Linked DNA regions of Lepisosteus oculatus. The protein of the gene in region 1 binds, or shares a complex with, the protein of each later gene. Links are inferred from orthologs where the notes say so. Each region holds a gene or a part of one and is shown on either strand. Other genes may lie near its edges. The genes, in order: tnrc6c1 and gigyf1a.

The links.
Region 2: the proteins of tnrc6c1 (region 1) and gigyf1a are in contact, whole or in part, in a crystal structure (PDB 7RUQ), measured with the Homo sapiens proteins. The link is inferred for Lepisosteus oculatus from reciprocal best matches to the Homo sapiens genes TNRC6C and GIGYF1. Residues at the interface, in NP_001136112.2 of Homo sapiens: Arg1719, Pro1720, Pro1721, Pro1722, Gly1723, Leu1724, Thr1725; in NP_001362694.1 of Homo sapiens: Tyr479, Asp481, Pro482, Gln487, Phe490, Trp498, Tyr503, Phe504, Leu508.

What each region holds. Positions count from the first base shown.
Region 1 is NC_090704.1:44,664,310-44,672,549, forward strand, and holds the start of tnrc6c1 (trinucleotide repeat-containing gene 6C protein), read left to right. Parts: upstream 1-5,174; 5' UTR 5,175-5,385; coding exon 5,386-5,441; intron 5,442-8,240. UniProt on the Homo sapiens protein: Plays a role in RNA-mediated gene silencing by micro-RNAs (miRNAs). Required for miRNA-dependent translational repression of complementary mRNAs by argonaute family proteins.
Region 2 is NC_090698.1:9,897,875-9,906,343, forward strand, and holds the start of gigyf1a (GRB10-interacting GYF protein 1), read left to right. Parts: upstream 1-5,034; 5' UTR 5,035-5,292; intron 5,293-8,469. Other genes in the region: pop7 (ribonuclease P protein subunit p20), read right to left, coding at 1,472-1,921. UniProt on the Homo sapiens protein: May act cooperatively with GRB10 to regulate tyrosine kinase receptor signaling. May increase IGF1 receptor phosphorylation under IGF1 stimulation as well as phosphorylation of IRS1 and SHC1.

The DNA.
Region 1 (8,240 bases):
AGCCTGGACTAGTAAACAGAAAAGCACAGCAACTGCTAAATATGTTTTAAGAGTGGGTGACTAAGCTACGAGTTCTCGTGAGAAGGAGGGAGTGGAAATGGATTCAACATAAAAAAAAATACTGCAACGCCTTACTTAGGTTTTTAAGAAGTCTTCCAACATCGGAGCTCCTTGGCTGAGGTTATGTTCCCAAAAGATTTTAGAATCGTTCTTGTCAAGTAAGTTAGTCTCCAGAAATAATGAAACACTCTTGTTAAATAATAAACAAAACTATGACATTGGTGGTGCCACAGACTGTTTGAGGTAAGACCTGATATCCTACAGATACTGTGTGTGTGATTTGAGCAAGCTGTGGGAAAGATTAATTTTAGCACGTTTGTGAGTCCAGAACTGTGTAACGGTGGTGACCTTTTATTGTTTGTTTAGCAGGTGCCCTTTGCCTGGGTGATTCAAATCGGTGAAAAAAAATACAGTGCATATCAGTGCTGCCGTACGATAGTAATATTCAAAGACGGTACAGTTCAGTGCAGTGATATCAAGAGCAGCACAAAATGAATACATGTGTAATATACAGCTTGGAGGAGCAATAATGGTACAATTTAAATACCAGTCAAATGCAATCATACTAAGAAAATGCAATGCCAGTGCTGTGTCAAGGATGTTTAAACAATCTCTAGTCTTTCACTTTGATGGTAGGAATCAGACCAGTCCCAGCAATCTGTAATTTTTGTTTCTGGTCTTCCCATGTTCAGTATTGTATGGTTTAAGAATGACGTCTGTAATATTTGTTTGGAAGAACAGGTCTTTCCTTCTGTCCCAGTTTGAGTGGTGCTACCACAGCATCAGACTTCATTCAGAAAGATGCTGGTTTCTCTGCCTCCACAGCTTGCCTTGGTAATCTGTTCCATTAGGCGATACGATTGGAGTTTTTTGGTATTGGGGCACAATCGGCCATAACAAATTTCCCTTTGTGTTTTCCGTTTTTTGGCGTTGTGTTGACACAACTGTCCATATCGGTAGAGCTTTCACCTGTTGTGGTTCCTCAGCCATCTTAACTGTGGCTGAGAAGCGAGAGAGGAGAGAGTTTGGACGATCACACTCATGCCTGCTATAGTCTTTGGATATGTGGCAGGAGGGATGGTTTTTAAAAAGACCTGTCACCTTATTTGGCTGTTTTAGAAATCATTATGAGATGGGACCAGATCAATACAAAAATCTCTTGCCATGTGCTTGTAAGGTGCAATCTTTGGATATTTCTTGTTGTGAAATGCTTAATTATACTATATGGCATGGTTATTAGGATATTTATATCTATGAAAACGGAAGCAGACATGGCGTTTGAATCCACTCCCTTTCTGAAAACTGAGCACGTAACCCTGACTGTGATGGATGATAGAGTCTAAATCAAATAAAAAGGAGTACTGTTTGAATTAAGTAAATTCCTAACCCATTAATACTGATGTCGATGAACATCAACTTTTGTGATACGGTAAAGTTGATTCCATCAAATGGTTTGCGGTTTTATTCCCAGAGCCCGGCATTGTGCTTAACAATGTATTCATCTCTTGCCTCCTATATCCCAGTGCCGTTTTTCTGAAAAGCTGTTTTAAGAACAGGTTGTATTTGCCTCATGGTTTCAGGCTCCCTAGGCGTCCCTGCACACAAATATCAGGTGACAGCTGTACGCCCTTTGTCTTTTCACACAGTGGACACATTTAGCCATGCAGACTAATTTGATTTGCGGAGAGCCAAGGGTGAGTGGAATCCAGGTGTTGGAGACACTCTGACCCATGTGTAACCAGGCAGACAAAACATCCAAGGACGCAGAAAGGCATGTGGAGGGGTAAAGGAAAGGCTGAAGCAGGCCGGGTTGTTCGTAGTTACAGGGTGTTCGTCTGTCTTTGTGTGTTTTGTCTCTGGAAGATAAAGCACTTGAACACATTTCCGTGTTGAAAGGATCACAGGTTATTAAGGGGAAGAACAGGGCATCAAGTTCGTACTTTGAGAACAGCTTAACTTTATGAGTTTTATCGGTGCTTCTGAAAATAGACAAAAAAAATCCCACGGTGGGGATTGTACAGTACCCTGGCTGAGGAAAATGGCGCCTGCGTTATTATGGGCCTGGACAACACAGGGCACCTATTTGGACAGCTGGTGAGAGTGAGATCTGGCTTGATCATTAAATCTCTCACCTGGGTCCGATGGAGGAGTTGACTGTTTCGGGATGTACCCAGTGAGCGAGTTGCTCCAGGAGTGTGAATCAGATGATAAGCCAGCAGCCAAATCACCCTGCAACTCACCACTGGCAGCCCACTGGAGCTCAGCAGGTGTGAGCCTGGTCAGTACCTGGATGGGAGACCTCCTGGGAAAAACTAAGGTTGCTGCTGGAAGAGGTGTTAGTGGGGCCAGCAGGGGGCGCTCACCCTGCGGTCCGTGTGGGTCCTAATGCCCCAGTAGAGTGACAGGGACACTATACTGTAAACAGGCGCCGTCCTTCGGATGAGACGTAAAACCGAGGTCCTGACTCTCTGTAGTCATTAAAAATCCCAGGGTGTTTCTTGAAAAGAGTACCGGCATCCTGGCCAAATTTCCCATTGGCCCTTACCAATCATGGCCTCCTAATAATCCCCATCTATTGGGTTCATCACTCTGCTCTCCTCCCCACTAATAGCTGATGTGTGGTGAGCGTTCTGGCACACTATGGCTGCCGTTGCATCATCCAGGTGGGGCTGCACACTGGGGGTGGTGGAGGGGATCCCCATGACCTGTAAAGTGCTTTGAGTGGAGTGTCCAGAAAAGTGCTATATAAGTGTAAGCAATTATTATTATTATTATTATTATTATTATTATTATTATTATTATTATTATAAGTGACCTGGAAGCGGCAGGTCTAGAAAACAGTAGCAGTAGGGGGAGACGGTTTCTCAGTAGGTTCATTGGGCTTGGCGCTGCCATGTGAGACGCAGACACACAGATAACACTCCTGGTTGTTGGGGAGGGTTTGGGAAACTTAGTGTTCGGGTGGGGGTGGGGGTGGGGGCCCTCCCTTACATTATTCTTACTTTACATGGGCTTATTTGGAATGGTGAGATAATGGGGACACTCCCAAGTAAAACCTCAAAAGAAGCTGCCAGATGACTTACCTTCCGTAACTTCCTCACTTTCTAGTGATGTAATGTTGAACTCCAGACTGTGCCAAATTTGATCTCGCTTCCCTGGAAACGAAACGGATTTCTTAAAGTGAAATACGGAAACCATGCTCTGTTCTTGGTTTAAATGTGCAGTGATTGCTTTCTTTAGAAAAGAAGCACAGCGTTCGATATCTTGGAAAGGTGAACCATAAGAGTTTCTTCTCCATAATGGGATGTTCAGCCAGTCTGTTGTTCTTTTTATTGTTATTGTTACCTGATTTGTTGGTACTATTCCAAGCTAGTTAACTGCAGAAACATTTTTTTCACTTGATTCCATGTATTTGTTTCTGGTTGGTCTAGATCAGGGGTGTCCAGTCCTGGAGAGTCGGTGTGCCTGCAGCTTCACATTCCGACTCGCCTCTTAATGAGCTAAACCAGCTGGTTTCTGGCTGAACTGGACCGATTTTACAGCTCCTCCCAGCTCTTCAGGTGCTGCTGCTTTACAGACACCCAGCAATTCTGCTGACACACTGACCCTTTTGGACCACGATTGGATTTCTTTGCATCAGAATGGTGTGAAGCCATTAGGGTTTAAATTTCCTTCCTACAATGTGCAGACCTCCATCTGCTGGATCCTGGCTTTGTCCGAATATGTCAGCGGTCTGTCTTTTCAGTTTGTCCAGCATGTCGCAGGCTGGACGCTTAGTGAAAGGCTATCTTTAAGCAGGAGCTGGCTGCAGGGGCGTGTTTAAAGAACGTATCTCACTCCAGTTTGAATTTTGCAAATTTTGCAAATTTTCACATTTAAGTAAGAAAAAAAGTCTTTTTTTTCCCTTTAACGTTATACGTGATGGTTTACAAAATGTGTCTCGGTGTCCTTTTTTTCAGCAGTCATTCTCCACCCCTCTACACACACACGGACACCGAGGCAGGCAAAACTGTGGTTTATGCGTTTGTTGAACCCTGGGAAGCTGCACTGATTCTTTCTCTCTACGAAGTTTTTCATATGACTGTGTTCCTGTGACATTGTTCTAACCTGCCCTCCCAGTTCTGACTGGAGGGTTCAAGAGACACTTTCACTTTCCTGCTGCACTTGTGTGTGCCCATCCTGCAGTCTGTGTCTAGCTCAGTGTGGTGCGAAAAATAATAATCGGTTTAAATAGCAGCAGGGGTGGGCTTCCTTCAGTCGTGTGCATTATAAATAGCACTGGTTGCACATGGTTTTGAACATCGTCGGAGAGTTTTTTTTTCTCCTGCATTTTTCAAATCTAGGCACGCACACGGAGAGATGAATGCTTTTCCAGTGCTTTACCCGACACTAAACCGTTCCAGTCACTCAGCATTTTTTCAAAGGCTTTGTTCTGGCTTTAAAAGAGAAACCTCTCTTTTCTTATTTGCTCTGCTTTATCTCTTGACAGGCATCAGTACTGTCAGCTATTTTGATTGACACCTCCCCGTGTTTAAAGCCTGCTTTACATATGGCTTATAGACAGCTTCTGTTTCAATCATTGTAATTAGAGCCTGTTTTATCATATTTAATATTTTTCTTTGGTATTGTTATCTCAGAATACTTTTATTTCTGCATTTGTTTGTGTAATTCATGCATGCATTTCTTATTAGTGAACAAATCCATTTAAGTGAAATAATGATCTGTGTTTCATGCAGGGACTGTGCTGGAATATTTGGTGAATATGTAAGCAATTCTTTTAGTCTAGAATGGAAGAAGATGAAACTATAGTTTTGATACTGTTCACTGTTGTCAAGCGGGTTAGCAGATGAAGTTAATGAATTTCCTGTGCTGAGATTTATAAATCGAAAGCTTTACGTTTTTTTCTATGGCATTTTTAACTTTTAAAAAGCAAGTCAAAGCTTCTGGATTTGGTAAGTAGATTGGCAGGTGTGTGTTTCTGTTCACATTGGTACAACAACATGAGATTTCTTTATGACATTTAAAGATGCACAAAGCTATCCAGAGGTAATCCTGTAGAAAATAACTATTAGATAAATAATGAAGTCAGATGTGTACATATTGTATTAGATCGGATGAAGGCTGTCGCTGAAAGGTGAAGCCTTTATTTGAAAATTGAAACACTTTTCTAAAAATCTGCCTCATTTGTAGTGGTATGAAATGGTCATACATTTTCAAAGAGTTTATTGGTGGCAAGATGCGCTTGTTTTAGGAATGCAAAAGCTGTTGTAAACACCCCGAAATCTATCCAGTCTGCCCTGGAATGTGACTTTATCACGGATCACAATGATTTCCTTTCAGGTACCTAAACGGAGCGGTGGGACACATGCCTCTGTCCGTTGGTAAGGGGGTGACTTAACTACAAAATGGGTCTTCTGCCTTCGTGGGCATTCCAGCTCTACTTGGCTTTTCCCCTTGCAGTCCCTTGAGAAGCCCTATTGCTTCTGTTAATTGCTGGAGATTTGAAGCGGTTTACTGTATGGGTGCTTCTAGGGTGGGGGCGAGCTTGTTTTTGTGTGACTAGTGGGTGCCTTGTGGTATTAACCCCAGTGTTGCTCCTGGGCTCAGTCCCGGGACTGGGATGTGTCTTTTGCAAGGACCTCTGTTTGCAGATCTTTGGATTCTCAAGCGTTGGAGGGCAATGAGGCTAGAGGAAGTCATGGTTTTTGAGGACTCATTGAGGTGTGGTAGCCCCAGCCCCCCCCCCCCTTCAGACTTTCTTGTCCTTAATCCTTTTGTCTAATTCCTCAACTGTGGAGATCACTGAGGTTTGTGGTTGGCTGTACTGGCAAAGGAGCCTGTGCAGGTTGAGCTCTTGTGATCTAGGCATCCTCACCTGTGTGCACCGAGCGGTGCTGATGACCGGCTTGGGGTGAGTTCGCTGGGCTGTCGTGGGCCCCCAGCGACGCGGCGACTTCCCTGGATACCCGCGTGCCTGCTGTCCCGACACGCCAGTCGGGAGTGCATGTCTGCGATGCCGAGCCTCCTGAACACGGGAGAGGCTGCGGCCGGCTCCGTCTGCTCTTCCTCACCCGCGGTCCCGGGGCTTGTAGCCTTGAGCCGGGATACGAAACTACTCTGGACTTGCCAAGTGTGAGAAAGTAATTGAAAACCGGAAACCAAATAAAAAAAAACAAAAACAAAAAGCTTGCATATTGTGGGCCCTACCTTTAGAGCGAGCAGGAAAACTCTAGGCTGGGGTGTCTCTGGGTTAGAGGGATGTGTGTCGGGGCTGCAGTGCAGTAGTTAAGCGTCTCTTTGGATGTTGTTGGACTGGGTTGTACAGGATGAACACTGCGTTTTGGTCCAGGAGGTAAACCTTTGCCACTCAGAAACCTGATTCTTGGTCAGTCGCGTTTTAAGTGTGGTGCTTTTCCCCCCATGGTAAAGGCAGTTTCTGTGGTTATATATAATTTCATTTAAATCTGTCCTTTCATTGAGTAATTTCCCTTTCTTGCACTGACTTGTTTTATACAGTTCTTACTAAGCAGCTGGCATTACGTGATAGTTGTACCTCATTTTCCAAAGAAAGAAAACTTGTGACCAGATGGATGATTTTGAGGCCACATAGTCAAACCCTCACACTTTCTTCACAACGGAAATTGATTTTATAGACATGCTAGTACATTAACATTCCATTTCCCTTCCAGAAGTCCTTATTGTTTGCTCATTTCTTATTTATTCTTGGCATAATCTTAACTGTTGTGTCTACAGAAATCCTGTAGTGCAGATATGACTGTACCCAAGTTAAAGACATCTGCTACCTATATGCGAAAGTGTTTTGTTTTTGCAGGCTAACGAATACATGGGCTACACTTGGAGGAAATGAAAATCTTAGCTGGGTGATTTAGAAATGAGTCATGAGTTCTGTTTTTAGAGCTATTGAGACTTTCAAAGTGAAGTATTTGAAAAAATTAGTTTGTCATGAGGTGGTAAAATCATAGTTAGAGCAGAGGGGGTACAGTTTTACATCTGCCAGAACGAACCACATCACACGGAGAAGGGGGTTAAGTATTTCTGAACCATCAAATTAGAGACCGTAATGCAGGATTTCTACATCTTCCCCCAACCCCCCCCTTCTGTTTTGCAGCGACATCTGTTTTTTTTTTAAGCTTTCTTGATCCGTTTGGTCTTTCCTCGGATGTTCCGGGTTCAAGCGTCGGGTTGCGGGATTGCCGGATTAAGTCCCATTCGGGAAAGCTTGGAAAGCTGCGACTTCCTCAAGCGAGAGTCGCGGCAGGCAGGCAGGCAGGCAGGAGAGAGAGAGAGGCCGTGGCCGCCGTGTCCGGCCGCAGGTCTCCTCCCGGCCCTGCGGCTGGTGCTGGCCGGAGGGCCCTGTGGGAACGCGCACCTCTGTCTTGCAGCGCCGACATTCTTGGCCTTCAGCCCGGAGCGTCGGGCTCCGCTCGCCTCCCTCCGGTTTCTCCTTCTCCCCCCCTCCCTCTGCGTCTCTCTTCTGGCCGAGGCGCGCAGGAGCACGGACCCGTGCCTGGTGGCTGGAGATGGAAAGGGCTCTTCCTGAGCAGCCGTCTGCCCCCCCCCCCCCGCTCACGTTCGCCCCTCTGCATTTCCTGCCCTGCTCCTCTGCTCTTCTTGCCTTCTGCCTCCTCCCCCCCCCCCGGCGAGCGGGTCGCGTCTGGGCTCCTGCGTTGTGCCGTCAGCCCGGACTTACTGTGTTTTTAAATAGTTTTGGGGGCAAACTTTCTTCTTTTTTTTCCACTCCAGCGGCTGGGGGACGGCTGACCTCCAAAAAACAAACAAACAAACAAACAAACAAACAACGTATGTTCCCCCGGCTCACGTTGAAGTATCGCTGCCAAGTGAGCTGATGGCGTCTTAAGACCCGTTTTGTTAAGACCCCTCGTGGGTCATCTGGCACTTACAGGTCTACTGTAGCTGTGTGCTGCTGTAGCCTTCATGTTATTCAGCTGAGCCCTGTTGAGTAATACTGGATAATAAAAACCAGGAGACCTCCGTGCCCTTGAGTGCTCGCTGGCCTTGTTTTGATTGGACGCTGCAGAAGCTCAAGATCTGGCTGCCGTTATCTTGCCACAAATAAAGAAATGGAACATTTTTCCATTATTTGCAACTTTTCTTTTCACTCCCTTCGGAAAGAGCTTTCTGCCGCGCAGCTAAAGGCA
Region 2 (8,469 bases), on another chromosome or scaffold:
CCAGTTTACAAAGGTATGGATGACCTGACTTTTATTTTCTCCGATGTTTGCATGAACTATTGAGATGCAGACCTTCTAGATGCTACTGCGTGAGTGCCCCCTAGTGATAATATTAAATTATTACATAGGATATACAAGACTGTAAAGGAACAATAGGTTTATTCCATGCTGAAAAGACAAGAAAGAAAACAAAAATTTTTGGCCGTGAAGCCTTCTTCTTCTTCACCTGAAACCTATTACTTGTTCCTCTGCAGCCTACGCATGCTGACCACCTGAACTAATACAAGACTGTAATTGAGTTAATTATCAGCTGGGAAGGAAGCTTACAGCAAAGAATGGTGAAGCACAAAGAACACACAAAAACAAATTAGACTCCCACTCCAGGTTTTATAGTATGGTCAATCAGTCTCCCATTGCACAGCAGTCTGATCCACTCCGGGTTTTACAGCGATTGCCATCAGGTTCTCACTGCACAGCAGGAGCTGATCCACCCCAGGTATTACCAGCTGAAGGAGGCTCTTGCACTAATGGTACTGATGAAATCAGAAAGGCATCCTGTAGTATAGCCTGGCCTCCACAGACCTGTTGGTGTAAATGTCTGCAAGTGCAAGCAGCAGGCTTGGGAATCTGCCTTACCTACTGTTGGATTATTGACATACCAATCCTAAGAGATGCCAGGGGATTCAGTCAAACAGAAAAGACTTTTATTTACAGAGGAACAATCAGAAACAAAACAACCGTCCCGTGTCAAGTGTGCCCACACGGATGTACCCATGACCTCCCAGGGGCTGAAATACACACGAACAGCCAAGCACTGCAGCTCTGCACTGGTCACCCTCCTCCGTCCGCCTCACTGCTCTGCCTTTCCAGCCTGAATCCAAGCGGACCAGAGGCACCCACTCCTTCCTGGATCCCTCAGGACAAACCCGCACCCGGAACGCAAGTCCGTTTTCGCTGATGTCTCACGACGTGAAACACGACACGACTGCCGATGGGATGAAAACTACTCTATCAGCGTCATTCTTTTTGCACAGCATCTCCTTGGCCGACACCGTCAGGGAAAGGCTGCTGCTCAGATTCCAGCCTCGTCCTGTTCACGGCACAGAGTCAAGGCTCTCGCCTGGAAAAAGGGCGATGGGGCAGAAAGGGCGCTGGGCCTGCGCAGGCCCACCCCACCCAGCAGGACCCACGCACCTTCTCCAGCAGCGCGGCGGTGTGATCAGGCTGTCAGCTCTTGTCCCAGCAGTCATTAAACCACAGCAACGGCCGAGAAGTGACGACCTGCTCAGAGACCAGCTGGGGGGGGGGGGGCACGCAGGGGCGATCAGGAGCCTGGGCCGTCCTGCCGCGGATCAGTGCAACACCGCGTGCAGACGGGATCTCCCAACGCGCTGTCCTCCGAGAGCCAGAATGCCCCGGGACCGGAGACCCTGCGGGACCGGTCAGCGCGTCCCTGCCCGCTCCAGTCCCCTCAGTGCCCCTCGCCGTAGAAGACCTTGATGTGGATGGCGGAGTTGTTGCGCGTGCGGGTCAGCGGCTCGCCCCCCTCCTCGTCCTCGGGCTCCAGGTCGTCCACCAGCTCCACGGTGGAGGTGTTGGCGGCGATCTGCAGCGCCCCCTGGCTGGCGGCCTGCAGCTGCAGCGCGATGTTGATGGCGCGGTTGATGGCCAGGCCCAGGCCGTGCACGCAGATCTCCCGCTGCCCGCCGCCCTCCAGCAGCTTCTGGCAGCGGGCCAGCTGGGCGCGGAAGTCGGTCTTCATGTTGACGTAGACGTCGTTGCGGCGGCGCGGCAGCTTGCGCGGGAGCCGCTTCCGCAGGGTGAACTCCACGGGGTCCATCTCCACCTCGCCAGCGCCCCCCAGTGGCCGGGCAGTGCCTCCACTGGCAGGGACAGACACAGGACTCCGGGGATCTGCCATCACACTGGAACAGGAGCAGGCAGAGAGAGGGAGAGAGGAGCAGGCAGGGAGAGGGGGAGAGGAGCAGGCAGGGAGAGGGGGAGAGGAGCAGGCAGGGAGAGGGAGAGGGAGGAGGAGCAGGCAGAGGGAGTTGGTGTTGTGTTAAAACATAATTACTTTGTGAACAATATTGGCTAATACATTAATATCCAGCAATATATATGCAATCATATTGTCCTGTGCCAAGTAGCATTGCCTTTGACAACAGTAGAATATCATCACACTCCTCTCTGTACAAATGTAGTCATAAACGGAGTATGTGTACTGTCTTTTTAATATATGAAGGAGAACACCAAGGTAGAGAATTCCTGGGTTAAACCTGGGTTTTATTCTTTATGTAAAACTGCAGAAACATGTACTGTACATATTTTTTTTGCCTAATCTTTAAATATTCAATGGAATACATTTATGATGACTTTGTCAGTAAAACTTACACATCCAGTTGGTTTACTGTTACTGTTATTGTTGGTCGATTGTCAGACGCCTCCAAAGCTTTTAGCCTATGTTTACACCAAATGTATTTGAATTTGGAATTACGCGGCGAAACGCAGGGAATGTGTCATTTTAAGGGAGAAGAGACAGAATTTCTTTGCTGGTTTGCACAGCCATGAATGGAGAGATACAGTAATGCCAAACAAAATGAAAACAATCCCAGGACGACACGCAAGTCGTAGCTAACAGAGCAATACATTTTATGAAGAGTTATTTTGCTGGCAAATGTGTTCCGAAAAGTTCCGGAATAAAATCCTCCTGATTTCATCATTCAAAGTTTCGGCTTCATCGGTTTTACTCTCACGTTTTCGTAATAAACGTGTTCGCGCTCTTTAGTGAAATCGGACGACAGCACAGTGAACATACAACATTTATTTCTGCCTTAATAAAGCGAGTTAAGTTTAGGGGGGCTTTATGCCCTGGTGAAGGCCGATTAGGTGAGCTTCTCTGGCGGCTTAACGCGTCAGGAAACATCGGTGCAGATGACGTGGCCCACCTCTTTGCGGTAACTTAAAACGGCTCCTGACATTGGTTCAGCTAGTTCGTTTGTTTTTGTTTTTTTATTTTGCACACCGAAACCACTGACCTTTTCTCCAAGTGAAAGAACTGAAGACTACAGATCGACGTCGGTGGTGTCGTTCGTGCTGTTGCGACCCGGACAGCGGCCTCGGCTCCCCGTCCTGGGGCTTCGCATGCAGAGAGACGGAAGGGTTTTAGAGCGACACCGCTGAACTGGTCCGACCCGGAAAGGCGGAAAGCCCCGGTAGGACAACGTTAATAGACGGACGCCACAGCGACCAACAAATGCATGACAACGAGGAGTTAGCGCCTATATATAGATACAGTATGTGAACCCCTGAAAAACTTAATTGATTTAAGTTTGAAGTCCAATAGCCATCTGAAACGGCAAGAAGTTCCTCTATGTGGCATAAAAGTGTTGAATTATGGAACTTCATACAACGGCTGGTGGATTTTTAAAGTTATTTTAGCCACATATTGAATTTTTTCCCTAAAATATGTGCTGCTCTGACATCTAGAGGAGGAAGTTTAAGCCGATGCTATGGAGGTGGATTTTATGAGTGCCCGGTGTCTGGAAACCAGCTGTGTCTGAGAGAGACGAGACCCAGGCTCACGCATGAGAGGGGAGGCGGGAAATGACCCCGAGAGTGACCTTTCAGAAACCAGACCGGAGGCAGAACATGCAAACACCACATGGTCAGGCCTGTGATGGACGCAGCCATGCGCGTTTTCCAATAGTCCCAGAAGGGAGTTTCCAGATCTGCAGAGGCGAAGGAGGAATGAAGCGTATGAGTTGACTTGCACAACGTTCTCCCAGCTGACAGGAGGGTCACTTCACAAGCGCACAAGTGCATACAAAGAGTTACAAAAGTGAGCAGGCCCCTCTGCCCCTCGTGCTAATTGGATTGCTAATGAGCCACAAATCCTATCCAGCCCTTTCTTATAAGATCCAGGGGAATCAGCTTCAACAGAGCTCTTGGGCAACGTTTTCCAGAAACCCACTGTCCTTTGTGTGAAGATATGTCATCCGTTCTCTGCCCTGAGTGCTGCTGAAAGAGGTGTATTTAAATCAGAGGCGCCCAGCTCTGGGGCTTGCAGGTCCCTTTAAACCTTCACCTGCTGCAGAGCAAGGAAAAGGCTTCTTGTACAGTTAATGCAAGGCTGTCGAGTCCTGGTGATGGAGGAGTCAGTGTGTCTGCAGTCTCTCCTGGTCTGTTTAAAGCAGGGCTGTCCAGTCCTGGTCCTGGAGGGGTCAGTGTGTCTACAGTCTCTCCAGGTCTCTTTTAAGCAGGGCTGTCCAGTCCTGGTCCTGGAGGGGTCAGTGTGTCTGCAGTCTCTCCTGGTCTGTTTAAAGCAGGGCTGTCCAGTCCTGGTCCTGGAGGGGTCAGTGTGTTTACAGTCTCTCCAGGTCTCTTTAAAGCAGGGCTGTCCAGTCCTGGTCCTGGAGGGGTCAGTGTGTCTGCAGTCTCTCCTGGTCTGTTTAAAGCAGGGCTGTCCAGTCCTGGTCCTGGAGGGGTCAGTGTGTTTACAGTCTCTCCAGGTCTCTTTAAAGCAGGGCTGTCCAGTCCTGGTTCTGGAGGGGTCAGTGTGTCTGCAGTCTCTCCTGGTCTCTTTAAAGCAGGGCTTTCCAGTCCTGGTCCTGGAGGGGTCAGTTTTCTGCAGTCTCTCCAGGTCTCTTTAAAGCAGCGCTGTCCAGTCCTGGTTCTGGAGGGGTCAGTGTGTCTGCAGTCTCTCCTGGTCTGTTTAAAGCAGGGCTGTCCAGTCCTGGTCCTGGAGGGGTCAGTGTGTCTGCAGTCTCTCCAGGTCTCTTTAAAGCAAGCTGTCTAGTCCTGGTCCAGGAGGGCCTTTCGTGTTTTTCATTGCAAGCTGGTTTTAGTTAAGGGGTCCACATGAACAGCACTCCACACATTATGCTGGCGCATTAAGTGAAAAAACAGAGTTAGAAGCCGGAGCCGCGCGGCATCCTCCAACCCTGCTGGATCATATATCACGTGACAGGGGGCGACTTCTGTGGTTCGGGGAAAAACTCAGCTTCTCGAGCTCCCCTATCACGTGGCGCGAGTAGGACGGCCATCTTTTTTTAAAACACAAACAAGGAGCGAGTGAGCACAGCGACAAACGCGCAACGACTGTTGGATACTACTTGCATTTAAAAATAGAATTTAAAACAACAGTAGTAATAATAGTTATTAATAATAATAGCAGCGAGTAATCCGGCGGAGGAAAAAAAATCGAGACAGCGGAAAGAAGACGAACAAAATAATTCAAGGAGAGAGAAATACATTTAAAAAACTCAAGTCGGGAACATAAACAAAACGCAGGTAAGCGCCAGACTTGCTTCTTCCCGGGTTTAACTGTATTTTTTAGGAGGAGGTGTGTGTGTAAGCGACAAGGGTGCGGTTTGTCTGTTTGGGGGGCTCTAAGTCTTGCGCGGATTGAGGGTTTCTTTCGCCTCGTCGTGGGGATGAAAGGGCAGGAGGAAAGACCGAGAGCAGGTGAAGGCCGCGGCGAGAGCAGCGGGGTAGAGTTGGAGGGGCGGCCGGCGGGGAGGGGAGGTGGGCGGGAGGGGGTCAGTGCCTCTCACACCCCGCCCCCCCCTCCTCCTCCTCCTCCCCCTCCCTGCTGGAAGGCCTGCAGCGTCGGGCCCCCTCTCTCCCGACCGGGAATCTCGGGGGCTGGATCGGTGCAGGATCGCCCGGCGTGCACAGCTGTGCGACACCCGTCTTTTTTGGAACTTGCACGGGTTTGTTTGTTTTTAGTTTGTTCCTCCCACGACAGCCTCAGTAACGTCGCTTTGCACCGCGCAGGGTAGGCCGTTGCTGGGACGTCGCCGCAGCTGCAGCTGCTTCTGCCATCGGTGCTGTAACAAGGTGGTGCTGCGTTTCCTGCGCCGCTCATGCGTTAATCAAGACCGGGCGGCAGGGCTGGCGGGGCGGCGTGAGCGCAGAGCGGGTCGTGTCGGTGTTCACGGTGCCGATGGTGCGCCTGTTCTGACGCCGTGGAGGTGACGGACTGCAGCCGCGCAGTGGGTCCGGGAGCCTGGCGTGTGGGGTGGGGACGGGCAGTTTTCAGGGGGCGCCGTGCAGCTCCCCGCAAGCTAGGACTGTCCCCCCTGAGGTGCTTGTCACCGTACCAAGGTGCAGACGGGTTTGTGGCGGCGGCGGCGGCGGCGAGTTTTTGTGTTTTGAAGTTTTGTTCGGATGCGCTAAAACCGCGCAGGGCAGTGCGCGCACTCCGATCCCTGCGAGCTGGCGCTGGCCTGTGGTTCAGGGAGCTGGGTGATTTTCTGCGTGCGGTCCGTGGAGGTGTGGTCCCGCACGGACGTTGTTTTGGACGGTCTCGCCGTGCGTTTTTGGCAGGGGGCTGTCAGGTCCGGCACCTGCGTTCCCCGTCATCCATAAAAAAAATTCCCCCAGGGGACGATAAAAATCTGATCTATCTTATCTCATTAAAGCCTACTCTCCGGCTGATCCTTCGTTATCGATCGGAGCGAATTCAGCAATCAAGGGTCGATTCAGTACTTATTGGAAAGTGGACGGCCCTGCGCTGCGATGAAATCCTGAGTTAGGTGCCCCTCGGTGACCGAGCACTCACGAAAGTGAGGCACTGAGACCTGGGTTTCTTCATAACTCGGTCTCCGCCTGGACCAGTGATACACACTATTCTCTCTGATGGTTTAAACCAGTATAGTTGTCCGGATCTGGAGCTGGGCTGGTCAGCAACAAAGCAGTGTTGCCTTTAGGGGGAGGATTGAGTTTCTTTTTCAGCTGTTCGGTACTTTACTTTAAGGCACGTTTGTATGATTTTGTCTATTCAGAGTGTTTTGTTTCTTTAAGGCATTGCTTTGGAGGGGGGTAACTATTGAGACGATGATGAGAATACCATGAGACTTGAAAGCACCGTTTTTAAAGACTGAAATGTTTTTATTTTAAATAAAAATTTTGTCAGTGGTGGTTCTATCAGTGTCTGCTGTGTTACAGTTCACAGCAGGGTGTGACAGTGTGTGTGTGTGCTGGTGAATTAATGGTGAATGTGAGAGGAGAGGGACAGCAGTGGCTCTAGCAGTGTCTACAGTACAGTCAGGTGTGACAGTGTGTGTGTGCTGGTGAATTCAGGGGGAGTGTGAGAGGAGAGGGACAGCAGTGGCTCTAGCAGTGTCTACAGTACAGTCAAGTGTGACAGTGTGTGTGTGCTGGTGAATTCAGGGGGAGTGTGAGAGGAGAGGGACAGCAGTGGCTCTAGCAGTGTCTACAGTACAGTCAAGTGTGACAGTGTGTGTGTGCTGGTGAATTCAGGGGGAGTGTGAGAGGAGAGGGACAGCAGTGGCTCTAGCAGTGTCTACAGTCCAGTCAGGTGTGACAGTGTGTGTGTGTGTGCTGGTGAATTCAGGGGGAGTGTGAGAGGAGAGGGACAGCAGTGGCTCTAGCAGTGTCTACAGTCCAGTCAGGTGTGACAGTGTGTGTGTGTGTGCTGGTGAATTCAGGGGGAGTGTGAGAGGAGAGGGACAGCAGTGGCTCTAGCAGTGTCTACAGTACAGTCAAGTGTGACAGTGTGTGTGTGCTGGTGAATTCAGGGGGAGTGTGAGAGGAGAGGGACAGCAGTGGCTCTAGCAGTGTCTACAGTCCAGTCAGGTGTGACAGTGTGTGTGTGTGTGCTGGTGAATTCAGGGGGAGTGTGAGAGGAGAGGGACAGCAGTGGCTCTAGCAGTGTCTACAGTCCAGTCAGGTGTGACAGTGTGTGTGTGTGTGCTGGTGAATTCAGGGGGAGTGTGAGAGGAGAGGGACAGCAGTGGCTCTAGCAGTGTCTACAGTCCAGTCAGGTGTGACAGTGTGTGTGTGTGCTGGTGAATTCAGGGGGAGTGTGAGAGGAGAGGGACAGCAGTGGCTCTAGCAGTGTCTACAGTCCAGTCAGGTGTGACAGTGTGTGTGTGTGTGCTGGTGAATTCAGGGGGAGTGTGAGAGGAGAGGGACAGCAGTGGCTCTAGCAGTGTCTACAGTACAGTCAGGTGTGACAGTGTGTGTGTGTGCTGGTGAATTCAGGGTGAGTGTGAGAGGAGAGGGACAGCAGTGGCTCTAGCAGTGTTTATAGTACAGTCAGGTGTGACAGTGTGTGTGTGCTGGTGAATTCAGGGGGAGTGTGAGAGGAGAGGGACAGCAGTGGCTCTAGCAGTGTCTACAGTACAGTCAGGTGTGACAGTGTGTGTGTGTGCTGGTGAATTCAGGGTGAGTGTGAGAGGAGAGGGACAGCAGTGGCTCTAGCAGTGTCTACAGTACAGTCAGGTGTGACAGTGTGTGTGTGTGCTGGTGAATTCAGGGGGAGTGTGAGAGGAGAGGGACAGCAGTGGCTCTAGCAGTGTCTACAGTACAGTCAGGTGTGACAGTGTGTGTGTGTGCTGGTGGATTCAGGGGGAGTGTGAGAGGAGAGGGACAGCAGTGGCTCTAGCAGTGTCTACAGTACAGTCAGGTGTGACAGTGTGTGTGTGTGCTGGTGAATTCATG